7 linked regions of the Cricetulus griseus genome follow. The protein of the gene in region 5 interacts with the protein of the main gene of each other region in a pairwise test. Links are inferred from orthologs where the notes say so. Each region holds a gene or a part of one and is shown on either strand. Other genes may lie near its edges.

Evidence for each region.
Region 1: the proteins of Pin1 (region 5) and Zmiz2 interact in binary tests that used the Homo sapiens proteins (3 or more experiments, as listed by UniProt). The two-hybrid records come from large-scale screens. The link is inferred for Cricetulus griseus from reciprocal best matches to the Homo sapiens genes PIN1 and ZMIZ2.
Region 2: the proteins of Pin1 (region 5) and Rai1 interact in binary tests that used the Homo sapiens proteins (3 or more experiments, as listed by UniProt). The two-hybrid records come from large-scale screens. The link is inferred for Cricetulus griseus from reciprocal best matches to the Homo sapiens genes PIN1 and RAI1.
Region 3: the proteins of Pin1 (region 5) and Amot interact in binary tests that used the Homo sapiens proteins (3 or more experiments, as listed by UniProt). The two-hybrid records come from large-scale screens. The link is inferred for Cricetulus griseus from reciprocal best matches to the Homo sapiens genes PIN1 and AMOT.
Region 4: the proteins of Pin1 (region 5) and Homez interact in binary tests that used the Homo sapiens proteins (3 or more experiments, as listed by UniProt). The two-hybrid records come from large-scale screens. The link is inferred for Cricetulus griseus from reciprocal best matches to the Homo sapiens genes PIN1 and HOMEZ.
Region 6: the proteins of Pin1 (region 5) and Znf446 interact in binary tests that used the Homo sapiens proteins (3 or more experiments, as listed by UniProt). The two-hybrid records come from large-scale screens. The link is inferred for Cricetulus griseus from reciprocal best matches to the Homo sapiens genes PIN1 and ZNF446.
Region 7: the proteins of Pin1 (region 5) and Abi2 interact in binary tests that used the Homo sapiens proteins (3 or more experiments, as listed by UniProt). The link is inferred for Cricetulus griseus from reciprocal best matches to the Homo sapiens genes PIN1 and ABI2.

Annotation. Positions count from the first base shown.
Region 1 is NW_023276807.1:98,474,899-98,478,635, forward strand, and holds part of Zmiz2 (zinc finger MIZ domain-containing protein 2), read right to left. Parts: coding exon 3,717-3,737; intron 3,135-3,716; coding exon 2,990-3,134; intron 2,916-2,989; coding exon 2,705-2,915; intron 1,956-2,704; coding exon 1,850-1,955; intron 1,617-1,849; coding exon 1,459-1,616; intron 162-1,458; coding exon 94-161; intron 1-93. UniProt on the Homo sapiens protein: Increases ligand-dependent transcriptional activity of AR and other nuclear hormone receptors.
Region 2 is NC_048600.1:74,322,928-74,326,664, reverse strand, and holds part of Rai1 (retinoic acid-induced protein 1), read right to left. Parts: coding exon 2,669-3,737; intron 1-2,668. UniProt on the Homo sapiens protein: Transcriptional regulator of the circadian clock components: CLOCK, BMAL1, BMAL2, PER1/3, CRY1/2, NR1D1/2 and RORA/C. Positively regulates the transcriptional activity of CLOCK a core component of the circadian clock.
Region 3 is NC_048604.1:35,485,579-35,489,315, reverse strand, and holds part of Amot (angiomotin), read right to left. Parts: intron 2,906-3,737; coding exon 2,673-2,905; intron 1,635-2,672; coding exon 819-1,634; intron 529-818; coding exon 431-528; 3' UTR 1-430.
Region 4 is NW_023276807.1:210,071,486-210,076,000, reverse strand, and holds the start of Homez (homeobox and leucine zipper protein Homez), read left to right. Parts: upstream 1-1,592; 5' UTR 1,593-1,766; coding exon 1,767-1,773; exon of another isoform or gene 1,774-4,070; intron 4,071-4,515. Other genes in the region: protein phosphatase 1 regulatory subunit 3E, read left to right, coding at 668-1,084, 1,170-1,592. UniProt on the Homo sapiens protein: May function as a transcriptional regulator.
Region 5 is NC_048597.1:133,534,088-133,538,515, forward strand, and holds the start of Pin1 (peptidyl-prolyl cis-trans isomerase NIMA-interacting 1), read left to right. Parts: upstream 1-1,423; 5' UTR 1,424-1,502; coding exon 1,503-1,560; intron 1,561-4,428. UniProt on the Homo sapiens protein: Peptidyl-prolyl cis/trans isomerase (PPIase) that binds to and isomerizes specific phosphorylated Ser/Thr-Pro (pSer/Thr-Pro) motifs.
Region 6 is NC_048602.1:25,556,384-25,560,635, forward strand, and holds the start of Znf446 (zinc finger protein 446), read left to right. Parts: upstream 1-1,256; 5' UTR 1,257-1,574; intron 1,575-1,759; exon of another isoform or gene 1,760-1,908; intron 1,909-1,915; exon of another isoform or gene 1,916-2,223; intron 2,224-2,354; 5' UTR 2,355-2,394; coding exon 2,395-2,736; intron 2,737-2,810; coding exon 2,811-3,015; intron 3,016-3,294; coding exon 3,295-3,389; intron 3,390-4,252. UniProt on the Homo sapiens protein: May be involved in transcriptional regulation.
Region 7 is NC_048595.1:414,686,180-414,689,916, reverse strand, and holds part of Abi2 (abl interactor 2), read right to left. Parts: intron 2,169-3,737; coding exon 2,022-2,168; intron 1,346-2,021; coding exon 1,221-1,345; intron 1-1,220. UniProt on the Homo sapiens protein: Regulator of actin cytoskeleton dynamics underlying cell motility and adhesion. Functions as a component of the WAVE complex, which activates actin nucleating machinery Arp2/3 to drive lamellipodia formation.

The sequences.
Region 1 (3,737 bases), on a different chromosome or scaffold from region 5:
GGTTTGTGCTAGGGAACACTTCCGATGCTACTTCAAATTCCACCCTCTAAGGAATCGGCAGTTCTCCCCTCATCATACACGAGACTGACTCACTTGCACACGGGGCACCTCCAGGTCCCCCGCTCACAGTTGAGCTGTAAATATGACTCCAGGTCAAAGCACTGCAGAGAGATAGAGAGACAGGTCATTCCTCACCATAAGTCAGTGGAGAGGGCTGTTCAGAATGTCTTCTGGAAAGTTTGCCTTGTTTGGGTATATATTTTTAAGGTATCAGGTTTCTACGGCAGCATCTTTTGTAGACCAGACTGGCCTGGAACTCACAGAGATCAGCCTGCCTCTGCCTCCTGAGTGCTGGGATTAAAGGTGTGCTCCATCACCGCCCAGCTACGACAGTTGTTAAAAGTTGTTCAGTGGCAGAGTGCCTGTCTAGCATGCATGAAACTCTAAGTTCAACCCCCAGCACCACCTCCAAAAAAAAAGAGGTTGCTTTCAGGACAAAAGAGCATGCAGGTACTTGGCTAACACTGGCTATTTCTGTAGACTGCAATTCTAAAGGTAGGCAGGAAGAAGGCTGCACCCATATCCTTATGCCTTTTAAAAATGGAACCCCATGAATACAGTAACCAGCAAAATATAGGGAAAACTGTAGTGGGTGTGGTGGTGCATGCCTTTAGTCCCAGCATTTGGGAGACAAAGGCAGGTAGATCTCTGTTTGAGGCCAGCCTGATCTACATAAAAGAGTTTTCCAGGACAGTCAGGGCTACATGTCACAAACAGTCATACTTTATAGGAAAAATTATGGCTGTTTCAAAGGAGCAAGACTAATAATCTCAGGGAAGGAAGCAAGGAGGCCATGCCCCTGTGGAGGGTCTGCCTTTTTGGTCTGAGGAGCTGAGGTGCTCAGATTCCATCTGCCAAAGAGGGTAAGGCTGAAGGGTCAGCACCAAACATGCCTTTTTCCAATACTTGAGTGCAGTGGTGTCTGCCTGGGAGCTTGGCAAGTGGAGACAGGAAGATCAGGAATTCAGGGTCATTCTCAGCTACATAGTGAGTCTGAGGCCTGCCTGGGCTACATGAGACCCTATCTCAAGGGGAAAAAAATGTCAGACAGATTCTCACTATGTATCGGAGACTTGGCCTCAGCCCCTGGGGCTCTGGAATTACAGGTGTGTATTATGATACCAGGCACAAAACATTTCTCTAAGTTGCTGGTAAACATGTTTTACCAGCAATCTAAAGTGATTACTGGTTACAGCTATGGACATTACTGTATATGTTTTAGTTGCATAAATGCTGGAAGTAGAACCCTTCTTGTGGATCATGTGTTTTCTTTTTAATGCTACTAAGAAGTTTTCTCAGTTTCTAGTTTAGATTCCACTCAATACTGAGTCAGTCTTCTGGGTGCTCCATAAACTCAAAGCATTTTAAGGGCAACAAAGGTCTACAGGGACCACAAACCTGTATGTGGCGACAGTCGTGACCACGGGCTGGGAGCTGGATCCTGCGGAAGGTGATGGGGCACTTCAGGGACACCTTGATAGCCGTCTGCTCCACCCCATCCTCTCCATTGGGCCCAGGGGTGCCAGGGATGGTGCCGCTACTGAAGTTCCGCTTTACTGACATTGACAGGGGAAAGGACTTGAGTAAAGGTCTCCAACATTCTGAGGCTGTGAACTGGTGCACCAACCAGGGACCCAGTCATTGCTCAATCAATGTCTCTTAAGAGTTGCCTGGAGGTAACCAATGCCCCTTGGCCAGAGCCACCTGTCTGAGAGGAAATGGCCTCTGTGCCACAAGGTGGGGTTCAGCCTGGGACAACCCAGATGGCTGAGGAGTAGGGACCACTCACTCTTGGTGATGCAGTGCTCAGCAGGCAAGAGGCGCTTCTTGAGGAGGCCCTGCAGCACAGAGCGGACAGATGGACGGTGCACCAGTTGCAGCACGAAGAGGTGGGACTGCAACAGAGTGAGGGATGTTATATGGAGAGTGGGGAGGGCTGGAGAATGTAACATAGGGTTAGAAGTTAATTCAAGGGGTACCAGGCAGGGAGGGCTGGGGTTAGCATGGAAGGAAGCCAGGCCAGCCACCTTCCTAGCAGCTAGGTCCTCCTGAGTGCTGACACACAGGCAGGCAGGCAGGGACTATGAGCTTCAGCCACACTGCACTACCTCATGCTCTGCAGGGCACTTTGCTCCAACCACTGTCTAGTTTTCTCCTCTGTCAAACCACAATCACCTCAAGTCCCTGGCACAGTCCCCTGCTTATCACATCCACTCTCCTGACATGACTTGATATCTGAGCCTTCCTATCTCCAGGCCCCTCCATCATGTCAGGGTGGCTCCTGATAGCCTGCAGCTCAAGGTCTAGTTGGGATCCTACCCACCAGAACCTCGTGAGGCCCAGGCCAGTGCAGGTGGCACATCTCCCATGAGCTTCCTGTGCTTGCTCTCTGACATAATTAACATGAGCATTAAATCTGTCCAATGGAATCTAACTGGAAAACAGAGTGGATTTAACTGCCTCTCTTTTCTGAAAAGGCAGGACAAATTAAAATAGAAACAGAAGCAGCACCTTGTTCTTCAAGGATAAAGACCCTCCCCCACAAGCTGCCAAACCCACAGGAGAGCTGCTGGTCTGGGTGTGCCTCTGCTGGCCCCAGCCTGAACCCTGGCAGACACTACCCACAGCCCCACAGGCTACCCACGCAGCAGCAGGCGGTAACGGTGATCTGGATGGTGTTTCGACCTGGCTGGCACACGTGCTTCAGGTAGAGGGGCTTGTGTGAGGTCTTATTGTCTCCACGCTCGATGCTGAGGGGTGTGGCGTTGACGCTGACCTGCACGGATGCTGGCCAGTTGGTGTTCATCTGCCGGTCCTCATGATGGTAGCATTTGAACTGCAGCTCCAGGTCAGGCCTGGCAGGGAAGAGGATAACAGGAGCCCACATGGTGCAGGCAGGACCCAGGGGCAGGATGGTAGCAGGACTCACCTCAGCATCAGGGTCTTGTAGACAGAGTCTCGGAGCTGGAAGACATGGTTGCTCACAGCCAGGTTGTGCTGCAGTCGGAAGGGCTCCAGGACCACCCCATCTCGAACTGGGAAGGTCAGGCGCAGCTCATCACAAGGGCCACTTCCTGAGGGCAGAAGTATGCGGGCCATGAGTTTGGTACCCTTCCAAGGAATCTTGGCCCTCAAGGAACACTTCTGCACATAGAGCCCCAAACCCTAACCCAACACTTGCCAGAAACTCTCAAGAGGGCTGAGACACCCACACATGGGTGCTCCAGTTAGTGTCTCTCCTCAGAACTTGGGCCCACGGTCTGTGTTCTATCCTGTCTTGGTCATTCAGCAGTCTGGACCACATTGTGAATAGTCACAGGACATGCTTCCAACCTAGGAAGCACATCCCGACTGGGCCACCTGCCATCCTCTTATGGTTCAACTTGAAGTTTTAGTATCTTAGCTGCTTCTGCAGGAATCTCCCTGCAGGCATTCATAGCCAAGGATGGATATCTGAGGGCCATTTTGGGTGAACAGACATTTTTCTGGACAGAATATCCACAGCCTCCATGAGAGCTAGACAGGGCCATTAAGGGAAACGAGAGGGCCTGCTATGACCCTTCTGCTTTGTATGAAACTGGGCCTTGGACTTCCAAGCTGTCTGTAGGACTCTCTTGAGTCCTGATTACCCCGGCCACCGTCCTTCAAACACTCACCAGAGGGTGACGGGTGCAAAG
Region 2 (3,737 bases), on a different chromosome or scaffold from region 5:
CTTCCCAAGGTCAGAGAAAAGAGAGCTGGGAACAACCCATCAGCTCAAAGATCCAGGTAGACCCAGAGCCACAACACAGCTGATCCAGGCTACCCTGGTAGGGTGGTTTCTACCCAAGCACTCTGTAGCTGGAGTAGCCAGTGGGGTGGGTCAGCAAGAGGAAGACATCCACGCAGTGTCTGGATGAGCCTCCCAAGGACCTAGAGCCCTAGGCCCACTTCTTAAGCCACTAAGGGAAGAGGAAGCATAGTGGAAACCCCAAAATAGACTAAGTCTCACTCACAGTGGCCCTTGGGAGTACTGTGAGGCTAACTATGGCCCCCTTGTGGTAGATAGTCCCAAGCAATCCTGAGGCAAGACTGTTCATTACAAATATGGAGAGACTAAGGCACGGAAGGATGAAGACTTGTTCTTGGCCCCAGTTCCCTTGCTGGGGGGCATAGCCGATCAACCATGTCACCCACATCCAGAGGCCGCTGGTCTCCTAGGGTGTGATCAGCCCCAGTTCCCTGAAATGCAATACCCTGTCTAGTCAGGAAACAGTGTGCACGATGACAGATCGAGGATGTGGGCAGCCCGGGTGGCTAAAGACCTGGAAGGTGGGCATGACAGGCTGAAATATAGTAGGAACTGTGGAGGATAGGAAGACCAAAGGCTGGCCAATGCAATGGGTGGGAGCTGGCATTCTGGGCTTCCTGGGCATTCTGGACACAGGGCTTCCTAAAGTTAGATTTGAACCAGGGTCTGGCTGGTCCCTGGAGAAAGCAGTGCCAACGAGCCACTGAAGCAGAAAGCAATGGGCTGAACTATGACCCTGCAGGTCATGTTCCAGGAAACCTGGAACCCCCTAGCCTATCCCCCAGTGTACTCTGCCCGGGGGTGGGGGTGGGGATGGGGGTGGGGGGCGACTGTGGGGTTACAGCCTTGCAGCAGGCCCCAGCTGCCAGTCATGAGCCAGCCAGGCCTACCTCTAGCAGGGAGGAGACTTCAATATGCAGCCAATCCTTGTCCAATGAGAGCCTCTCCTGGCCTTCCCTGTGAGCAGCTCCAGCTCCAGTTGTGACCCCATGACCCTCCTCAGCTCAACAGGATGTTGTGTGTGCACCAGCATGGCCAACAGGAGGCCCAAGGCACAGGGCCAGACTAGGCCATGGAAGGCCCTTACCTGCACTCATCAATGCTGCAGCCTGTTTATGTGAGCCCAGGGCTGGGGGTTGGAGACCAGATGACTGAGTCTCAGCCCTGCCCCTCAAATAAGCCCTGGGTAATGAAGGGTATCAGGTATCTCTCTGGACTTGTATCAGGTATCAAGGTTCCAGGCTTTTCTTTTCTTTTTATGTGCATTAGTGTTTTGCCTGCATGTATGTCTGTGTAATGATACCAGATCCCCTGGGACTGGAGCTACAGGCAGTTGTGAGCTGCCATGTGGGTGCTGGGAATTGAACCCTGGTCCTCTGGAAGAACAGCCAATTCCCTTAACCACTGAGCCATCTCTCCTGCCACCAAGCTTGTTATTTTCTAATGAACGGGAGACAAGACTATTTCAAGGTAGCTGTGAAGACTTAGTTCAAAGGAGCTAGTAGGAAGATGGGGGTTTGGTGCCTGCCTGCTGCATGAACTGGCTGAGGTACTGAAAGCTGTGCTGTCTTGTCTCAGGCCCTTCTCAGCATGATGGGCAGACAATGGGGCCCAGAAAGTCTACAGCCATCACCATGGGCAGGAGATGCCTGAAGCCTGGAGCCAAGGGCAGCATCCACAGTGGTCCCCGAGGTCAAGGATGGGGCCTGGACAGAGTGCTTCTGAGGAGCTGGGGCAGTGAAGTATGAAGAGGAGGGAGTTCGCTGGCAGTCAGAGTCCTCTGAACTCAGATGCCCACAGTGGACTGAGGGGGAGGGAGACGGAAATCGATAGCTGGTACGAACACCCACTAAGGACAGTGCAGAGAGAGGAATGAGCCTTGCAGCCTGGCTGCCCAAGACACGAATGCAGGGGCACAAGTGGCTCTGCTGCCCTGGGGCCGAAGCTTCAGGGGAGCATGGCCTCTCGAGTTGTCTCTGTCCGTCCCCTTTGGTCTGAGGAACCTTAAAGGCAGCCAGAGCTCAGAATGCTCTCTTCATCCTAGACCTGTGATCCCAGATAGACCCCTCAAGATCAAGGCTAGGTGCTGTGTGGCCTTGCCCACGCGAGGAAGGAACAAGGGTAGAGGCTGTGCCTGCGCAGTCCAAAGTTTTCTGAAAGGATGACTTAGAACGGGAGGGTTGAGCTTCGGGGCTTCTGTGGCCAGGTAACCCAGGGTTGTCCAGAACCAGTGTCCCATGCTTTAGCCACATGTTGTTTAGGAGCTATCCCCTAAGTCCCAGTTCAGGGGAGACCAGGCCATCTTGACATTCAACCCAGGAAGGGTCCTGTCTTGCCAGGACCCAGTAGCTCTGGTTTGGGGCAGTGTATGTGAGAAGACTGGCCCAGCGGAACATAGAACTGTGGCGTATCCCCTGGGGCAGGATGGATAAACGTGTCCTGCTGTAGCCCCTGGATTACTTCAACTTGCCTCCACACTCCCTCAAGGGACTGGCTACTCTTTGGCTATGGGCCCAAGTGACCCTCACTAAAGCCAGCCTGTCAGTACTTCAAAATCCCATCCCCTACCCCAGCTGGTCTAGCTTCTTACCATGTCCACAGCTACCTTCATGGCCTCCTGCAGCCCAAAGAGCTTCCCGGCCACCAGGTACACCCCGCTGGTCCACACAGCACAGGCCTCATGTACCCAGTGTTCCTGGGTGTCCCCACCAGGCTCTGCAGGGGCCTCTTTGCTGCATTCATGTTTACGGCTCTTGTCAGCTGGGGCCACCTCCTCACCCCCGTCCCCCTGACCATCACAGCAATAGCAACTCTGCAGCCGCCGCGACAGGCCCCGGGCACTGGTGCGCAGGGAGCCCTGCTTGGCGGGGTCAGCTGGGCCATCAGGCCTGGACAGCCTCCCCAGGGTTGTGGTGGTGGTGATGGTGGTGATGGTGCTGGCTGCACATTCCAGGCCTTTCAATGTTCTCTCAAGAGGCAGAGAGGCCTCCTCAAAGGTGCCCTCCAGCCGCACCTTCTCCTTGAGTTTTGGTTTCTTTTTGGGGAGGCAGTGTTCAGGGTAGTAGGGGCCACAGAGGTCCCCAAGGTCCTTGAAGTTGGCCGGGTTTTGGCAGAGGCAGCAGACAAGGCAAGAGGTACTTAGGGCCTTGGATACCACAGGCCCCAGATGCATGGTGGAGGAGAGGGGCAGGGAGGGCCTGGGCTGCAGCACAGGGCCTCCAGGGAACGCGGTCAGAGAGGCCCCAGCTGGTTCTAAGGAGGAGGAGGAGGCAGCAGAGGAGGATGGCTTCCAGTGAGGCTTGGGCTCATCCCCTGGGGAGTTGACAACAGTGCAAATGGTGGTGTATGCGTCTCGCTTCTCCACCCGCACAAAGGGCGAGAAGGCTGGGGTGCGGCTGTCTGCCCTCAGCCGTTTACAAGAGGAAATGTATTTGAGTCGGATTTCAGGCTCTGCAGGATCCAGGGGCAGTACCTGCTGCTGCCGTCTCCGGGTGGCACGTCCCTTACAGGGTGAAGCATGGGTGGTCTTAGCCCGGCCACGGCTGAGGCGCTTCCGCTTTGAATAGCTGCTATAGCTGGCTTGACCTGGCTGCTTCTGTGCCCTTGTCTGGGGCTGGCAGGGCCGGCCTTCAGGGGGCTGGGAGGCCAGTCCCAGCTCC
Region 3 (3,737 bases), on a different chromosome or scaffold from region 5:
AGCTAGACAAAGCAGCAAGGCCTCAAACTCTCTCTGGATTTCCATTTCTGAACTACGTGTTCCAAACTGCCTTCCACACATACTGTAGTCTTCAATGAAAAATGACCTCAAATTGGGCGCTTAAAAAACAAATGGAAACATCTTAAATCAGTGGACATCACTACCTGTTAATAGTCCATGATTTGTATCAATCCAACCAGTAAGCTTTAGAGCACATTCTGCTTAACCTATCATTTTGAGGTACTCCCTACGTATTCCAAAATAGACTGGAATTCTCATGGTATTAAGTACTACAAGAGTCCAATTAAAAAGTCCCTTTAAAAAATCACCCCCACCTCCCAACCCCATCATCACCCCAGATTAAACAAACAAAAGGGAAAAAGTGGTTAAAAGAGCTCTTGCTGATAACTTCAGCTCTTGATTGTGCCATTTAGATGAGATATTCCACCATCTCTGCGTCAGGTTCTTGACCCAGGATCTGAATGGGTGCTTTTCTTTCCAGAGTACTGCAGTGGAAAACAGGAACATCTAAATGGAAATGAGAGGGTACAGAAGTATTAGAGATAGTTTTTTTAAAAAAACAAAACAAAACAACAACAAAAACCTTCAAAAAGTGCAACCAGGTACATCCCCATCATCTACTTCACTGGGAAAATGGCCACTCATGACCATTTCCATTTTAGTGAATGGGAGAAAACCTTTCCAGAAGTTCTTCTTTTCTCTCCTCTGCCCAATCCCTATTACATCAGGAAACATTCAACTCTATCAAAATGGCAGGCACCAACCAGAAGATACCTGCTACGAAAAATTGGAATTACCTGGCTTGTCTGGGTTGCACATCAGATTTGGTGTGGACAAACGGCGAGGTCCAGAACCGGTACCTGGACTTGCAGGACCCTCAGCCTGAGCCAAAGCTGGAGTTGGAGTTGGAGCTGGAGTAGGAGCTGCTGTCGGAGCTGGAGTTGATGCTTGAGTCGGAGTCGGAGCAGAAGACTGAGCCGTTGCTGGAGCCGGAATCGGAGCGGGAGCTGGAACTGGAGCCGAAGCAGCTGGAGCAACCTGAACAGCAGTAGCAGTGGCAGCAGCAGCAGCAGCAGCTGCAGCAGCAGCAGCAGTAGCAGCAGGAGGAGTGGGAGAAACAGTAGCAGAAGTAAGAGATGAAGCAGCTGGACTCTGGACAGCAGCAGCTGGAGAGACAGCAGCAGCTGGAGAGACAGCAACAGCTGGAGAGACAGCAGCAGCTGGAGAGACCGCAATAGCTGGAGAGACAGCAGCAGCTGGAGAGACAGCAGCAGCAAGAGCAGCAGCATTTGCCGGAGCTGGGGCAGCAGCAGCAACAGGAACTGGAGCAGCAGCTACCATGATAGTGGTGTTGGTGGCAGCAGTGGCAGTGTTGGTGGCAGCAGTTGCAGTGATGGCAGCAGCAGTGGCAGCAGCAGCAGCTGGAACAGCCACCGGGATAGAGATGGGAGTGACAGCTGCGGTTTTGGAGGGTTCAGAGCCACGTTCGGTTTGGGTGCTGCAGTCTCGACTGCCCGTCTTCGAGTGAGCCGAGAGCAGGGGAGTAGATGGAGGCACTGGCGAAGGCGTGGATGGGACAGACTCAGCACGGTAGTCTCCACCCAGAAGAATGCCTGCCAAAGAAGCAAGGGACAAGAGAAAAGTAGGTGATTTCCTATCTAGATACTGATTAACTATTCACCCTTGTCGGAATTCAGGAAGAGAAAATACTTGACATTTTTCTTTGAAAAGTGTTTGGTTTTGCCTCTAGTGTTGGTTTTGAACTTAGAGGATCCCTTCTTCTCTTCATTTTCCAGTTCTTAATACAACATATTAACCCTGTCCTTGGTACCTGATAGATATCTCCCCCTCCCCCAATTGGGGACGATAGCAGATCAACATGTCAGAGTTCTTTTGTGTTCCAGTAATATTAATACCCTACATTACTAGAGAGGTGGAAATAACCCCGGGGTATGGGTACCTGTGGATATCCATGAGTGCTTTTAGTTGTGTAACTACAGAATTAAACATGACAGTGGCTTCCAGAATGTTTACTCTAACTAAAGGATACTGCAAGAGGCAGAGGACCAAGAAAGGCATTAAAGACAAAAGGGTTGAAATATATATTTGGTTGCTTCCTCGGTTTCAAAAATGTGTCTCAATATCTATGGGCCTCTGAGGCTTTAATTAGAGGGGGTGAAATGGGCAGGAATTAAAGAAAAAGCACATTCTGTTCCCATATCAGAACACTGCCACCTCACCTCATTAGCTTAAAGAGAACTTTGGGTCCTCTTTCTGTAGGGGAGGAAGGAAGGAACACAGTGAGGCTGTAATTTTGAATTTTGCCTGAGATGAAGTCCATTTGATTTTTGAACAAAGTTCCCATGTGGCAAAAGCCAAATCTGAGAATTTTGCACATAAAATTCAAGCTATCTTCCTTCCCATCCCCAAAGAACTCAGGATTCTCATTTTTGGCCTCAGTTAATATTCTTACCATGAGACTTCAGGGCTCCTGGCCATTCAACTAGTTCCATCAGGGAAAAAAGTAACCCCAAATTCTCTCTAGAACCAGAATCGTTGTCTCTTTCCCTTGCTGCGTGTGACACAGGCAGGGCACCCTCTCTCTAAGTCTGTCACTGTGCGCGTCCCTTATTTGTTCTTATTTTCATTACCTAGGCTCCCCTTCCAGCTTTTGTCATCTCGCTTCTCCTCCATGATGGGGGTACCAGTCAGGGTAGATGAGTGGGCGAGCAGGCCTGATCCAGCATTGGAAATGGACATCAGAGACTTCGCTGGTCTCATGGATGACAGCTGCTCTGTCTTACTTGGCTCCTTTCTGGAGCGCTGCTGCAGCACTTTGATCATGGCGTCCTTCTCAATAATCTGGGCATGGAGGCTCTTAATCCTAAAAAGCCCAAAAGAAAGCACACACAGAAAGTTACCTCTGCATTCTGATCTCACTGCCTAAATGGATTTGCATTCCCTTTATCTTTTCAATTAGGTCTTGGTCCAGTTTATTCTGAGTTGGAGGGAAGAAGGATCCATATGTTAGAGCTTTAAAGAAAAAAAAATATTGCATCCCCTGGACTGCCAAGTAGATGCAAGAGAACGTCTAAGAGCTTCTGCTGACACATCAGAAAATCCAAGTCAAATATTGGCAAACAGAAAGGCTATATAGGAAAGATGTCACGCTTTGTTGAAGGAGCTCTTCCATAGTAACAGGAAGTTCAGTGATAAGATGGAGTCTTCTACTAAGACATGACCTCCAGGTAACAAGTAAATGACACTGAGTCTAAAGAAGACATTGGGTGGGCTGGAGAGATGGCTCAGAGGTTAAGAGCACTGACTGCTCCTCCAGAGGTCCTGAGTTCAATTCTCAGCAACCACATGGTGGCTCACAAACATCCATTATGGGATCTGGTATCCTCTTCTGGTGTGCAGATATACATGGAAGCAGAATGTTGTATACATAATAAATAAATAAAGTCTTTAAAAAAAAGAAGAAGACATTGGATGCTGTATTTCCCAGTGTGAACAGATGTCGTGAAGTCAGCTGCATTACAGAATTGAGCTGCGGTGCTATGAAGAATACCTCAGAGTAGGAACGCTAAAAACTCAGATCTAGCAGAATACAAAATCCAGGGGAAAGCAACCCTACTGGGAACTGCTTTGTTAGTAAGAACGTTCTAGAAAAGTCATCACATCAAATCCTAGGTAACCGACTGGCAGGGGTGAAA
Region 4 (4,515 bases), on a different chromosome or scaffold from region 5:
TGTTTTTCAAAAATGAAACTGGAAAATAGCCAGTCTTGTGTCCACCGCTCGTCCTTTGGCGTTTTCCACTCGGAAGACTTAACCTAGGATTCGCGGCCTTTCTTTTCACTACGCCCATCTTCACCTCTATCCCAAACCTGTAGCCTGGGTTTAAGAAAACACTGAGCTCTGGGGAAGAGAATTAGCCTCTCGGCATTTTGAACTTTCCATGCAAGAAAATGAAGGATTACTCTTTCCTCCCCGCTTTAACCCTTCTCATACTGGAGTTACTCATTTGGGACCCCGAGGGTGGAGTCAGTCCCGCCCCCTGGTGCAGCAGGGAAGATAGATGCCGAGCCACCTGTCAGAGGGCTGTGGGCGGGGGCCGGGTCAGCGAGGCCCGCAGAACCGAAGGGAGAGCGCCGTTGAGCGCACGCTCAGAGCAGACAGCGGGAAGCCGGCAGGACCGACAGTCTTAGAAGACAGTGGGGTTGACCGCCAAAGGCAGGGAAAGGTGGTCAAGGAAACCCGCCAGGCCAAGAACGCGAGGTGACAGCAAGAAGGCGAGTCCAGGGCTAGCAGCTGCCGAAGCAGCCTTCCGCCCTATGCGCGGACGCGGAGCGGGTGGCCGAGTGAGGACGCGCCGGGCGGGCACTGTGCGCCGGCCCCGCTGGGGCGCAGGGGTGCCATGTCCCGCGAGCGGCCTCCGCGCACCGACATCCCTCGCAACCTGAGCTTTATAGCAGCGCTGACCGAACGTGCCTACTACCGCAGCCAGCGGCCCAGCCTCGAGGAGGAGTCGGAGGAGGAGCCGGGGGAGGGCGGGACCCGGCCCGGCGCCCGCTCGCGGGCTCACGTTCCGGGTCGGGGGCGCAGGGCCCGCTCTGCGCCCGCAGGTGGCGGCGGGGCGCGGGCAGCCCGCAGCCGCAGCCCTGACACTCGCAAGAGAGTGCGTTTCGCTGACGCGCTGGGGCTAGAGCTGGTCGTGGTCCGCCGCTTCCGCCCGGGGGAGCCGCCCCGGGTGCCCCGCCACGTGCAGGTGCAACTGCAGAGGGACGCCCTGCGCCACTTCGCGCCGTGCCCGCCGCGCGCCCGCGGCCTCCAGGTAGGCGCCCCGCCCCCGTCCCCGGGACCTCGGCCTCCGCGCTCCAAGCCCTCCTCTGACCCGCCTCCCCGCCCTCTCTCCTCAGGAGGCGCGCGTGGCCCTGGAGCCCGCCCTGGAGCCCGGCTTCGCCGCCCGCCTGCAGGCGCAGCGCATCTGCCTGGAGCGCGCCGACGCGGGCCCGCTGGGCGTGGCCGGGAGCGCGCGCGTGCTGGACCTGGCCTACGAGAAGCGCGTGAGCGTGCGCTGGAGCGCGGACGGCTGGCGCAGCCTGCGGGAGTCGCCCGCCGCCTACGCCGGCCCTGCCCCGGCCCCGCCGCGGGCTGACCGCTTCTCCTTCCGCCTGCCGGCGCCTCCGGTCGGCGGCGCCCTGCTCTTCGCCCTGCGCTACCGCGTGACCGGCCGCGAGTTCTGGGACAACAACGGTGGCCGGGACTACGCGCTGCTTGGGCCCGAGCACCCTGGTGGTGCCGGAGCCGCGGAGCCCCAGGGCTGGATCCATTTTATTTGAACTAGGCTCCTGCTGGCCACAGCAGGGACAAAACAGTGGCACCCAGGCGTGGGGGGAGACTGTGGCGCCAGGAACCCGGGAACCACAATTGGCAGATGGGTGGAGGGCGGTCCCAGAGAGTCAAGTCGAGGTGGCTGGAAACCGTCTGTGAAACTCAAGAGATTAGGGTGGAAAATGGCAGGTAGGTGTAAGCGGAAGGAACTCGAGATAAGAGGCCCAGAAGGGCTCTGGAAAGTGAAGCCTCCTTGGGCTAGGAAGCCCAGTGAAGTCATTCGGTTTGCTTCCCTCTCACTGGCCCTACCACCTCAGGTCCCCGTGCCCTGCCCACCCTAGCTTTATCTGAGCCGAAATTGCCTTGCTTAACCCCAGGAATTTGACCATTGCCCCTGGGCCCTGGCAGTGTGACAGCATTCCCTTGACTCTCAGCAGTTCCTGGCTTCAGTCTTCAAGGAAACATGGGAGAGAGTCCTTCAGCCACGGGGCGAGCCTTGGTGGCATCTGCAGATGGTGGCAAAACCAACTCCAAGCCTGCCCTTGTAGTCAAATAATGGGGCATCTAAGGGGTTTGCATAATCAGGCTTCCAGAAAAATGAATGCCAGCCTTACTTTTCTGGGTGCCTCTTAAAACCTTGAAGCACTTTGTGGACTGTCTGCGGAGGGACAGTGAATCATGAAAATCACTACTGATTTATTCTTTGTGCCTCTGAAAGAAGAGGAAACCACCAAGTATCTGTATGATTGAGCAGGTTATTTTATCTTTTTGGACTCCAGGTTCCTCTGTGAGAAATTGGATTTGAGTTAGGTGGTCCCTTAAGGTTCCTTTTTTTTTTTTTTTCTGGACAGGGTCTCTAGCCCAGGGTCTCCTGCCCTAGCCCCTGCTGTGCTGGGGTTATTGGTGTGAGCCACTATGTTTTTAGGGCTACATTTTGGTGTCTCATGATCTGTTCATGGCACAGTATAGGTTAGAAACTGTATTCTCCAATCTAGTGCTACAATTAAAGCCCACAGGGCAAGCCAGGTGTTGTGACACACACAGGGAGACTGTTGAGTTTGAGGCCAGCCAGCTAATATGATTGATTATTTAATCTATCCTGGGCTACATGAGACTGTCTCAGAAAATTAAAAGCAGCAGCAAGGCTTACCTAGCACAGTGAGTCTGTGGTTGGAGATGAGGATAGTCTCCCCCACACACACACCACTTTTTGGGAGTGGGGCACAGATGATCCAGGATACAGCCCATAAGCAGCCCATAGCCTCAGTGTGTTCCACGCCACAGCTCACCCTGTGCCATTTGCTCTTAACTTCCACAGACTTAGAGCCCCAGTCCCGTGAGAAAACGGAGACCAGTATTACTGTTAGGGAAAGTGATGCATGGTAGCCCCAGAATGGAACAGTTGGAACTCTGGAGGTCATGGGTATAAGAAATAGAAAACAAAAAATGAAGGCAGAGGTGACAGTTTGATCCATATCCAAGTCAATGAAATGGAGAACCTGGAGCCTAATGCAATGCCCACATTCACACCTCATGCCCTTCCTAGGGAGGCTCCAGGTGAGAGTTGGGTTTTGCTGGTTGTTTTTCCTTTCCTTGTCTTTCCCTTTCCCTTCTTTCTTTTTTAAGATTTATTCATTTATTGTGTATGCAGTGTTCTGCCTGCATGTTTGCTTACAGGCCAGAAGAGGTCACCAGATCTCATTACAGATGGTTGTGAGCCACCATGTAGTTGCTGGGAATTGAACTCGGGACCTCTGGAAGAGCAGCCAGTGCTCTTAACCTCTGAGCCATCTCTCCAGCCCCCTCACTTGTTTCTTTGAACATGTAGGACTTTTGCCTTTATTTCCACTCTTCACCCTTGTTGGTCTCTACGGGGCATCCCCTTTCCCTTGAGAAATCCCTGTCCACAGCCAGTTTCTCACTCCACCTCTTCCCTGCCAGGTACCCACACATCATTCAGAATTCAGTTTGGGGCTTGTCCCTTTGCCCCTGCAGTCATTCATCAAACATTCACATCTAAGCATCTTCTGACCTTGTACAGAAAACAGTTTGATGTTTCCTGGGGATCACCTTCAGGTTCAGCAAAGTCGCAGGAGGCACTGTACTGGAAACCACCAAACTCTGGTCACTCTCTAATCTTCAACAAGGAACCCAGGGAGACTGGGTGGAGGTTCCATTGTGGTGGCATCATTCCTAGTGTGTGTGTGTGTGTGTGTGTGTGTGTGTGTGTGTGTGTGTGTGTGACTGTTACTTCTTAACAGATCCTATTTAACTTGTGTGCTAAATGTGTGACATGCATGTTTAAAACAGCACTGTGACTTGAGCATTATCTCTTTTAGAAATAAGTCCAGACTCAGTAATTTGTTCAAGAGTATGGGATTGTGAGCCCAGGAGGTTCCCATAGTCTGTGTGGGTAATCATGGTGGTATGTATTTTTCTTTGATTAAGAACAAAATTAAAAACTTTGCTATATATCCTCTATCATAGGGAAAGACCATCATTCATTATGCTGTGCCTTCCTGTCCTCCAAGGGGCCCAGACTTTTACCCCACCTTCTCCTGTGCCAGCATTCCAGTTCTACAGGGTCAGAAAGGCACTAGCCCATGAGCCTGCTAGAGAACTCGGGAACCAATGTAAATGCCAGCTTTCCATACACTGGGTTCTCTCCTGGCTCTGGCCAACCCGCTATACCACCTGGCGTGGCATCTTTCCTTCCTCTCCCTCCATTATCCTTGACTAGGTACATTATTTATTTAGGTTTTTTGAGACAGGGTTTCTCTGTGTCTTGGAGCCTGTCCTAGAACTCGCTCTGTAGTCCAGGCTCTGTAGTCTAGGCTGGCCTCAAACTCAGAGATCCCCCTGCCTGCTGGGACTAAAGACATGTACCACCACTGCCCAGATTTTTTTTTTTCTTGCATGACCAGGTAAACT
Region 5 (4,428 bases):
GTAGACTGGGCTGGCTTCAAACTGAGAGATCCTATTGCCTCTGCCTCCCAAGTGCTAGGATTAAAGGTGTGTGCTGCTATTACTGGCATAAAGCAACATTTGTAAAGTGTTATGCTTTGCCTGCATGTATACATGAATGTGCACCATGTGCAGACCTGGTGAACTGAAAAGGTCCTCTGCAAGAGCAGTCCAGGCTCTTTTTTGGTTTTCGAGACAGGGTTTCTCTGTGGCTTTGGAGGCTGACTTGGAACAGCTCTTGTAGACCAGGCTGGTCTCAAACTCAGAGATCCGCCTGCCTGCCTCTGCCTCCTGAGTGCTGGGATTAAAGGCGTGCGCCACCAACGCCCGGCTCAGTCTGTGCTCTTAATCACTGAGCCATCTCTGTAGCCCTCCGCAGACCTTTTTCCTTCTCTCCTTTTTCTTGGGGGGGGGAGGGTTGTTGCTTTTGTTTCATTTGAGACAGGGTTTCTGTGTATAGCCCTGGCTGTCCTGGAACTCATTTCATAGACCAGGCTGGCCTCTGCCTCCTGAGTGCTGGGAATGCACCACCACATCAGTTTCCTCCACAGACTATCAATTGACTTAAGCCTATTCCTTTTCTTCATCCTAGTGATAATGCCATCGCCCAGCCCAGGAACCTAGGAAGGAGTCAGGCAGAGAAGGAATAAGTTGAAGTAGGTTCTAAAGAAAACTTGGAAAGTGGGTAAAATGATTAGCCTTGGGGCTGTAGAGATGGCTCAGAGGATAAGAGCATTGCCTGCTCTTCCAGAGGTCCTGAGTTCAATTCCCAGCAACCACATGGTGGCTCACAACCATCTGCAATGAGATCTGGTGCCCTCTCTAACCTGCAGGTCTACATGTAGGCAGAACACTGTATACATAATAAATAAATCTTTAAAAAGAAGAAAGAAAGAAATGATTAGCCTTGCAAAACCCAAAAAGGACTGGCGTCGCTTTGGAGGAAACAGGTGGGAAGAGAACCAAAAAGCCAAATTTAGGCTTTGGGCACTTGGCTTCTTATCACCAAGGCAACTGAATTGCTATGGCAACGGCAAAATACAGCAAAAGTACCGAATACCTCCCTACCAGCGAGCCGCTTCCGCGTGGAGGCTGGCCGACCTCCAAGAACGGCTCAATAAGGCGGGATTGGTTGCCGCAGGAGCCAATCAATAAGCTCTACTCTGCGGGCTAAGCCCACCAAGAAGGTTGCAGAGACCTTTTGACGCTTAAAGGAATCCTGAGCGTTCAATGGGCGACGCTTCCAGGTGGGCCAATCAGCGGCGGTGTCGGGACGGGGGGGCGGAGAGTGTGCAGGGGCGGTCCAGGAAGCCGCGAGTGAGCCCAATAAAATGCTAGCGCTCTAGCGGCGCCGTGGGGCCGTCCAACGGGCGTCTGAGCCGGGCGAGCCAATCGACAGTGGCGCTGGGCCGGCGCGGGGTCACAGCTGCGGAGGCGGAGCGGGGCGGAGCGGAGGCGGGGCGGGCGCTGCGGCAGGAGGGAAGATGGCGGACGAGGAGAAGCTGCCGCCGGGCTGGGAGAAGCGCATGAGTCGTAGCTCAGGTACGTCTTGGGGGTCGGCCAGGGACCGGGCCGGGCCGGGCCGGGCCCTCGCGAGATTGCAGAAGGCGGGCCCGAGCTCACGAGGACAGGCGCCCTGCCTTAGGCGTGAAGGTCTGGGCTCCGCGGCGTAACGGGCCCGGAGAGCCAGAGACCGAGGCAAGAGGTGGGGCGGGCACGGGCACGCCGGCCCGTCGCTCACCACCGGGCCGGACGTCCTCAGGACACTAGGCTGCACCGCGGGGCTCCTTTGGGAGGAGGAGACCCGACCCGGTGCCTCTAGAGGGCGTGGGCCGCCCTGATTTGGGTTCTGGGGCAGCATCTGTGACACGTGCCGGCTCATCTCCAGCACGGGATCCTGCGACAGCGCTGGCTTAAAGGAGCTCAAGTTCGTTCACAAGTCTGTACGTCCCCCACCCTCCCTAGATCCCTTCATCTCCGTCCTGCCCCCCCCTCCTCTCTCCCTCCCTCTTTCCTTGGCTCATCCTCTCCCTTTCCCGGTCTCCCCTCTCTCTCTCCCGTTTCTCTGTCGTGCCCGTCTTTCAAGGGATGGTTTGCTCTCATTTTTCTAGTGAGGGAACTGAAGCCAGGACACGCAAAGAACTCGCCAAATGATGCAGTTCAGGGACTGGGAATGCAGTGAGTTCCTACCGCCAGAGTCCCCTTGCCAGTGTCAGTGGCAACGCCCTGAGGAGCGGATAGGCATCTCCGGTAGAACCAGGGTCCTGCTGCCTACAGAGCTCACTTATTCTTATTGAGCACCAGGGTGCTGGACACTGTATACATTAGCTCTCTCTGAATTAACGCGGCTAGGTTTAATGTGTCTTTCACCCTTTTGTTTGGGAGGGGGAGGTGAAAGGGTGTTAGACTGGATCTCACGTGGACAGGTTGCTAGATCCTCCTGCTTTAGCCCTTCAAATGTTGGGATTATAAGCATGCACCACTTTGCCCAATGTATTTATTGAGACAGAATCTTTATTAGTAATATTAGTAGTAGTATATTTTGTGTGTATGCTTGTGGAGATCAGACAATAACTTTTGCAGGAGGTTTTTTTTTCTTTCTTTCACCATGAGAGTACCTGAGATCAAACTCACATCCTCAGACGTGGCTGCAAACACATTTACCCACAGCTATTTTCTTTCTTTTTTCTTTTTAAATTTGAGAGGGGGGGGGAGAAGACTAGTCTTGAACTTGCTTTCTTGAACCTCTGGTCCCCACCCTCACCTTTCTGAGTGCTGGGATTACTATCACACACTAAGATAAAAGTCTTGCTGTGTAACCAAAGCTGGCTTCTAACTCATGGTTCTTCTGCTTCAGCCTCTCAAGCACTGAGACTACACTCATGTGCCACCATGCCTAGTTCTGATGTCCTTATTCTCTTGCCCCAGTTTTTCAGATGAGAAAGCTGAGGTTCAGGGAGATGGCCTATTGTATTTAGCCCTAGAGTCCTTGCTCCTATCCAGGCTGCTCCATTCCTGGCCTAAGCATAAACATACTTCTAGGTGGGTGTGGTAGCACGTAGATAAATTTCCAGTACCTAAGAGGCAGAAGCAGGAGGTTCTCCAGTTCATAGTTATCCTGAGCTACATAGACTTTTGTTTTGTTTTTGTTTTTTGAGACAGGGTTTCTCTGTGGCTTTGGAGGCTGTCCTGGAACTGACTCTTGTAGACCAGGCTGGTTTTGAACTCACAGAGATCCACCTGCCTCTGCCTCCCGAGTGCTGGGAAAGACCTGAGCTGCCACCACCCAGCCATCCGGCCCTTCTTGATGCTGAGTCACCTATGTAACCCAGAAAGACTCTAAGCCCTTGGAGTGACCCAGAATCTACTGGGTCCTTCTTTCAAGCTCCTGCCATGTCCCTCACTGCCCCTCCTCTTTCCTCCTTCACTATTTTTTTCCTGTTTTTTTTTTTTTAATTTTTTAAAATTTAAATTAGAAACAAGATTGTTTTATATGTCAATCCCTGGTCCCTCTCCCTCCCCTCCTCCCCTGCCCCCTTTTCCTGTTTTTTGTTTGTTTGTTTGTTTTTTGAGACAGGGTTTCTCTGTTTAGCCCTGGCTGTCCTGAACTTACTCTATAGACCAGGCCAGTCTTGAACTCAAAGGTCCCCTTGCCTCTGCAGCCCAAGTGCTTGGATTAAAGGTGTGTGTCAACACTGCTTGGCTAGCCTCGAATTTGTGATCCTCCTGCCTCCACCTCCTTCAGCAAATCCTACATGTGTATACCACCACAACCAGGTCTCCTTCACGTTTTTTTGAGACAGTCTTGCAAACTTACCCAGACTGGCTTCAAACAGCAGACACCTATCCTCTTGCCTCAGCCTCCCTAGTTCTAGACTGTGCCCCATCAAGCCAGGCTTTTCCCTTAAGCTTTTGAGTTACCTTCTTTATGCTCCTCACTGTCACCTAGATGTCCCTTAGATGACATCAACCCCCCCAGTAATGCTGCTTTCTTGCTCTTCAATTTAGGCCACCAGGGTAAGGATTAAGAATAAAGTTTTGGGCCTGGCAGTGGTGGCGTGCGACCTTAATCCCAGCACTCCGGAGGCAAAGGCAGGTGGATCTCTGAGTTTGAGGCCAGCCTGGTCTACAGAGCGAGTTCCGGGGCAGCCAGAGCTACACAGAGAAACCCTGTCTTGAACCCCCCCTCCTTTGAGGTATCTGCCTCTGTCTGTGCACAAGATATAGCTGCTGCTGTGAGCAGAGGTGGGAGGTGAAGCCTGGTTTGTTTGCAGTGGAGCGATGGATAGAAACCGCCATACTTACCTTTTTGGTGAATGTCTGATACTGGAACCTGAACTAGAACCTCACAAATGCCAGGCAAGCACTGTTCTATCAGTAAGCTAGATCCCAGCCCCATGGTATTTTTGT
Region 6 (4,252 bases), on a different chromosome or scaffold from region 5:
AGAGATGCTTCCAGGGACAGCTGCTTCCAAGAGGACAGCTGCCTGGGAAGTCCCTTAAAGCCCAGCCTCTCCCCACTGGGTGGGTATGAGAGCTTTGTCCACAGAATCTATGAAAGACCTCATCTCCCAAGATAGTTCAGCTGGTAAACCCAGTTGACAAACTCTACCCGCACAACTGCTCAAGAGTTTCAGATGTGGAGAACTGCTGCTCACTGCTAGCTGCTGGCAGCCGAGGAGGGGGTTCTCAGGAATCAGAAAAAAAAACAAACAAACAAACAAAACAAAACAGAATAGACAGATCCGCTTCAGGACTGAATGATTCTATCATGGTTCAGACTCTTGGTATGTGGAAACAAAATTAACCTCATGTGCACATAAATTTAATAGCCCTTACTTGCTGTGTGTGGTGGTTCAGACCTTTAATCTCAGCAATCAGGAGGCAGAGGCTGCAGGATCTCTCGGTGAGCTCCAGGCCACCTGGGGACTTGAGACCCTACCCCCCCCAAACAAACAAATAAAAGCCATTAACTTTATTTTTTTAACAATTTAACTTTGTTTTTAAATGTGCGTTGGTGTGAAGGCATCAGATCCCCAGAACTGGAGTTACAGACAGTTGTGAGCTGCCATGTGGGTGCTGGGAATTGAACTCTGGTCCTCTGGAAGAGCAGCTAATGTTGTTAACCTCTGAGCCATCTCTCCAGCCCCTCACCTCACCCCATTAACTTTATTTTTAAAAAGCCTTTTTCCCAAAAGACTTTGGAGAGGGAAAAAAAAATGAGTAAGGGCCACCTTGTCTAACTGCAGCCTCCAAATTAAAAGTTGAGTGTGTCTCATAATCTCAGACAGAACCCTCCATCTCCATTTGCAGTAGTACCGCTATCTAAAGAGGGGGTGACCACATGGTCACCTCCTCTGAACGCCTGCTCGCCCACCCATGGGCCTATTTACTTAACGGACTATAACAAAGGCCATACTGGGTGTGCTCGCCCAACGCTGCCTCCCACCGGGATCCTCTGGAACTCGCACCTAGGTCTTCTCGGCCGGCCGCAAGGCCACGCTTACAGCGTTGCTTTGGCAACCGCAGAGGTGCGCTCGCTGTTACCTAGGAGACACACGGAGCGATGCTCCCTTCTCGTAGCTGAGCGCCCGGCTCTAATTGGGCAGAACGCCTCACCAGCCAATAGGAGCCAGGCGCGCTGCACACATGCGCAAGGAGGCTACGGTCCCGCAGCCCGGGTCCGCAGTGGGTGAGTCCTTCGGCTGGGGTGCCAAGGAAGAACGGGTCGCCAAGTCAGGAGAGGGAGCCCCGTCCACCACCACCACCCCCGGAACTCTGCGACACCGCGGGCTCCAAAGGAGAGGAACGGAACGAAGCCGCTGGCGCGCGAGGGGCCCGAGAAACGCGCGCTCCCCCTTGCTGAGGCTCACGGGAGATGTAGTCCGCGCGGAGGGGGCCGTGCCTGTGGGGCCGGTGCAGGATTGGCCAGGCCGGTAGTGAGTGGCGGTGGGGCGAGCGGTGTAGCCTCCCTTCCCGGAAGTGCCCCGAGCTCCTGGGGCGCCAGGAGGCGTCAGAGGTGAGCGAGCTGCTCGACTGGGCGGGCCCAGCTTCTCGTGGCTCCCCCCCCCCCCGAGCTCGAGGAGCGCCCCACTGCCCCCAGCCTTCGAACCCAGAACTCCGGGGGTCCCCTTCCTCCTGAAAGACCCTCCCTCTCCTTTGCTGTGTCAGAAACTGACACCCACCCCACCCCCAACTCTACAGGTGCCCCAGGAGAGCCGGTTTCAACCCAGAACCTCTTAAGGACTGGGACACAGGTTCCAGTTTACATGTCCACGTGATGCACGGCTGTCTGCTTTGGCTTCTGCTTGGGCGTTTCCTAGGCGTAGTGTGAGGCACCCACGGTTTTGTCGGTGAGCAGTGTCACCAAGCTCATATAGGCCCCTGGGAGTTGGCCCAGGCTTTCAGCACTGTCCCGGGTGATGTACCCAGACCCCAGAGCCAACTCTTCAGATAGACCAACACGATCTGCTTTCTGACTGAAGCCTCCAGGGCTCCAGGTCGCCCTGAAGGATGGTCCTACCTGTGCCCCCCTGATCCTTTGTCGGCTGGGGGAGCCACGGTAGTCCTCTGTTGGTAGTCCCAAAGGTTTGGGCCAGCCATGGAAGTTTCCTAGAAGGCCCTTGGACACCTTCCACCCAGGCATTTATCATCCATGCACCCTCCAGGTTGGGACCTGCACCTCCCGTTTCCTTCCTCGAAGCGCTCCTGGCCTTGGGGTTCTCTTTCCTGGCTTCTAGGAGGGGTCTGGTGTGTGCTTTTGGCCTTAGATGACACTCTGGTTCCTCCTTTCCTGTAGGTCCCTCCTGACAGCTCCAAAAAGACCCTTCAAAACAAGAATGCCAGCTCCTCTAGGTCCCCCACACCTCTCCCTCGGGGACTCCGAGACCACCATTGAGGAGCCTGAGGCTGCGCGACTCAGATTCCGGGGTTTCTGCTATGAGGAGGTAGAGGGGCCCCGAGAGGCCCTGTCCTGCCTTCGCGACTTGTGTCACCAATGGCTGCAACCTGAGTCATGCTCCAAAGAGCAGATGATAGAGTTGCTGGTTTTGGAGCAGTTCCTTGGCGTGTTGCCCCCTGAGATCCAGGCCTGGGTGCGAGGGCAGCGACCAGGAAGCCCTGAGGAGGCTGCAGCCCTGGTTGAGGGGCTGCAGCTTGATCCTGGGCAGCTGCTGGGCTGGGTGAGTGTAAATGGCATTAGCTGCTCAGGAGGACAGACTGAAGGTAGAGCCCCCCGTGACAGGCTTCTCTTCAGATCACAGCCCACATCCTGAAACCAAAGACGCTGCTTACAGTCCAGCGGACAAAGGAATCTTCCGGGAGCCGCAGCGTCTCAGTAGCAACGGAGTCCTCCGAGGCAGGCCCTTCGGAGGAAGTACCACAGGGTTCCAGCCTAGACAGATCTACCCAGATCCACTTGGTTGTGAAGGAGGAAGCCAGCGCCGATGGACAGGAGACGGGTAGGTGAGGGGTGACAACATCAGAATTTCAAATCTCTGTGTGTGGGTGTGGGGTGGGGGATGTGGTATCCTAGGAGGGGTTGTGTCGGGGGCTGGGACTCCTGAAATAAGTCTGCATGTCCCCAGCTGGGAGAGGGACCCTGGAGAGATTACAAAGGTGGATTCCTATGAAGCAACAAGACAAGACTGACCTCGCACCATGCCACATGGCAGAGGCAAGCCAAGGCCAATGCAGTCACCACAGCTTGATGCTCCTTCCCGTCTCCTTGTCTTTCTCAGTATCCCCAAGCCCCCTCCTTCCAGCCCAGGCCCCTGAGGGACATCTTGGACACCAGGAAGCAGCCTCCACATCCTCCCACCCAGGAAGGATCCAGGTAAGCAGCCTACAGCAGGAAAAGCAGGCCATGGGTGTATATGGGGTGTCTCTGTTGGTTGTATTCCCACCCTGTGGTTTGGTAGGGTCCTCTGCCAGTGACTCGTGTGTTTGTGCTTTTTGTTTTTACTATTCCTGAGTAGTAAATAACTTCCCTTCCAGCAGGTTCTAAGGGCTGAAGACTAGACTGGTAGGTCTCTCATTGGAAAAGATTTAGGCCTGGTCCAGAGTGGCTAGAGCTGGTGGCCATGGCTTCCTCACCCCAGAGAGGCTAGTTACTGGAAAGGCTTGTTATACCTTGAGGTCATGGGCCAGCTGTTATGTGTGCGGGCGGAGAGGAGACTGCCACGGCAGGGTTCCTGCATCCCTGAGAGCAAATCAAGACACTCTCCCTGAGTATGCCTCAAGTCCCTTCTACTGCCCTTGTCAAAGGACAGTGACCTGGAACCTTAGTTTAAAGCCCCTGCTACCTGAGCGTGCATAGTTGACGTGGAGGGGTAGGGATCCTATCCTCTTCAGGGTCTTTCTGTCCCTGGGCCCCTCCACTTGGGAGCCCCCTACCTCAATAGAGGGTCTAGTTAAGGTGTGCTTCAAGGTTAAGAAACCCCTCTAGGATGTCTCTCTGGTGCCCTCACTTCTGGTCAGCATCGCCTCTAGATTTAGCTGTCTGTGGCTTCCAATTCCCTCTTTTCCAGATTGTCCTTGGCTTGTCCTTCGGGGTTACTTTTTCCCAACCTGCCAAAGACCTGTATGGCAGATCTTAGAGCAAGGAAGAAGGTAGACCTTGCCGGGCTGTGTTGGTGCATGCCTTTAATCCCCCAGCACTCGGGAGGCAGAGACAGGCGGATCTCTGTGAGTTCGAGG
Region 7 (3,737 bases), on a different chromosome or scaffold from region 5:
ATAATATCTTATTAGTTAAAAAAACAACTAAAAATTCACAAAATTTTTCATGATTTTTGTAAAAAGATATTGTCTATTTGCATTACTGTAATTAAATACACTGTTTTGTTTTTTGAAGACAAAATTCTTGCTACCTAACCCATTGGTTCCTAGAGTCTCCTGGCTCAGCCTATGCATGCTAGATTCCAGGCATGCACCACTACCTACTATGTGATATTCTATCTTGCTGGGTTTGGAGTTTGTGGGGGATTATTTTTTTTTGGGGGGGGGAGGTTCCCAAAACAGGGTTTCCCTGTGAAGCCTGGCTGTCCTGGAACTTGCTCTGTAGACAAGGCTGGCCTTAAACTCTGATACCTATCTCCTCTGCCTCTGCCTCTGCCTCTGCCTCCTGAGTACTGGGCTAAAGGCATGCGCCAACATACCCAGCTCATTCTGCTAGGTTTTAATAAAGATTTTTATTTACACATGTGTAAGCCTAAAAGACTTTACATGTGCCATCTACATGTAGGTGTACAGAGGCCAGAAGACAGTGTTGGGTCACCTGGAGCCAGAGTCACAGTGGGTGCTGAAACCAAACCTGGGTCTTTCTACAAGAGTAGTAAGGGCTCTTAATCAATGAACTGTCATCCCTGCAGCCACTATCTTGATGTTTTTGTGTTCATGCTTTTAAAACTAAATTCAATCTCTGTGTTTTCAAATCAAACAACTATATTTTTCTGTTTCAGGGAGGAGGGGAAATAGTTTTTCAGTAACTACTGAATTACAATACTCCTTTAAATTTACATCTCTCATCCTTTGTTACCAAAATGATCCTCAAACCATGTCCTCACTATTTCCAAGGAAATGTACTGTTGCAATACTAACTGAAACCAAAAAAGGAACTCATCCCATAATGAATATGAAACTTCAAGGCACCAAATGAACTAACACTAAAGACATAAAAGTGACAGACAAGCAAAGAGACAGCAGAACAATTAAGATCACTGGACAGAAATAACAAATGTATGCAGACTTCCTAATACTTATGGAGTGCTAAGGGAATATTTAAAATCTTTATTAAGAGGAAAAGCCATCTGTAGGAGACTCTAGACTCAATAGCCAGAAACATACTCATGGTGGGTGCATGTGCACACACATACAAGAAAACTCTCTCTAATTCAATGACAAACTGAATTCAAATTGACAAAAGAAAACAAAATAAATGATCACTAATGCTTTACCTGGGAAGACGCTGGGAGGAGATGGAGTAGGAACAGCGATAGGAACGCCCACACTCCCACTTCCACTGTTCTCCCGACTGCTGCTCCGACTACTTGGGTGGCTTCCTCCACTACTCCCACTGCTGCTGAAGAAGTAAGAGCCACCAAAGTGAGTATAGAGAACAGGAGATCAGGATTGCCATGTACTTCTGAAATGGACATTGCCACAAGAAATAAAATTCAAAAAGCTTCCATTTCAAACATGAATTCTTAATAAATAAGGAGAAAAATCTGAGTTCACTGAACTTGTTTTGATACCTAATTATGAGATCTAATAAATTTTTAAAAAACCCTCTGTAAATGTAAGGGCAAATTGTTCATGCTTAATACATTAAAATAATATTTTATATCCTGGTTTAATACCTATCGAAGAAACTTATAGTAAGTTTTACTAGATTATTTTATTTCAGTTTGTAATGGCATGGTGATATACTAACATTTTAATATGGATAGTTTTTCATCTGTAAATTTCCACCAAAAAAATTACTTGCAATTTTCATTCCTGGTTAGTAACATTTTTTAATTAAGTTTTATCTCTGTTGGTAAGTTTCTACTTTAAGATGTCTTTTTCACCTTCCTGACTGCTCAAAGTTGCATCAGAGCATGAGGAGAGAGAAGAAGAATCAGATGAGGTTTGGGAGAGTAGAGTGAGAAAAAGAACTTAGTGCTTGGAAAATGAGAGAGGTTTAGATTTAACTGAAGTTATCTCAACAGATTATGGTACTCTGACCATCATGTTTTGCGCTGAGGTAGAGAAAATACCTGTAAGTTCGATTTCTTTGATTCACAGAAGCTGTCCTCACAGGGCTCTGCTGCGAGGGAGCCATATTACGGGTTGGGCTAGGTACGTAATCATTTGGTACCACTGGAGGACGCACTGGCTCCAGTGTGCGATAGGGGGAGTGCCGCCTACAAAAAGAAGAGCGTATGTATTGTGTGATTAATCAAGTTTCGGCACAGTAAATTCAGAGTTGCCAGTGAAATACAACTTGTAAGCAGAAATAGGAAATGTGGTTTAACCCAGCTATCAATTAGTCTTTCCTACAGTACAACTCTTCCACCATTACAGAGAGTTCTGGTGAATATGTAGTGTAAATTTCAGTGTCCAACCTCATTTACCTGTGCTAATGTAATTTTGTTCATTTATTCACAGAAAACACAAAGTTTCCATTATTTAAGCCAATGTTTTCTAGATCTACTCTTTTCATAGAAGAATTTGAATTATTTTAGATTCATGTCAAAATCTCCCAAATGTACTGAGTGAATGCACTAATTATCTTCTTCTCCTCTCTCTCCCTAACCAAAGATATTTATTAATATTAATACAGATGACAAATCTATGTTTTTGGAGTCACAACCTCCACATGATGATTAATACCAGCCATAACTCATTCCCCTTTTTATACACTAAACACACAGAAATTAAAGACGTTGGTACTTCAAAATACATAACTTCACTTCATTTTCCACTTTTACAACCTTTCTCCTTCAACTTCACCTCAATTTCTTTGCTATTTCCTCCTCAGAGGTCAACATTGATAGGAAATTTTAAAAGACTACCTATGTCCTTCTATCTTAGTTAAACTGTAAAACCCAAACCAGACAATGTTACTAACAAGTTGTTTCCCTTTTTCCAAATTTTCCTTCCAAAGAAAGAAAATGAAAAAACAAAGAAAAGAAACAACAGGCTATAAAGTGCTGCCCGGAGCACTGCCTGGCACTCATTCAAGTCTTGTTCTCAAGGGGCCAAATCCTTCAGGGACAATGACATCTTGCAGTTGAGATTAGGTCTTTAAAAGAATCTGACATCCCAAGATATGAAAATTTGAAAGTTTTCTTCTCTTGCAAGAGAATGCTGCTCATGTGGCTCTTGTATCTCTCAGTATTTCACTCCCAACCAGGTTTCCAGAGTTTCTTTAAGTACTGCTTTCCTGGCCACTCACTTTCACTGACTTTGAACCCGTTGGTGGCCCTAGAACTCTGGAACTCTCTTCTCAAAATCACAGAGATCCACCTGCCTCTCCCTCCCGAGTGCTGGAATTAAAGGGCTGTGCCTCTACCGAACAAATGAGATTATTTTCAAAGGCACTGTTGCCTCTGCTTTCCTTGGGTATTGCTCAATAAACAATTAACAGGCCGAGCGCTGTTTTTGGCACATGCCTTTAACCCCAGCACTGGGAGACAGAAGCAGGCAGATCTCTGTGAGTTCAAGGCCAACCTGGTCTACAAAGCAAGTTCCTGGACAGGCTCCAAAGCTACACAGAGAAACCCTGTCTTGAAAAACTAAAAAGAAAAACAAACAAAAAATTAATAAACAAAACAATTAACAATTCAAAATAAGTAAAAGACACTATATGTGCTATGTCAAAAGGAAATATTTTTAAAAATTCAAGCATATTTGAAATTACAATACATATATAAATCTATGTATGCATATATATCAGAAAATTTCTAAAGTCTACTTTTGACAATGTTTCT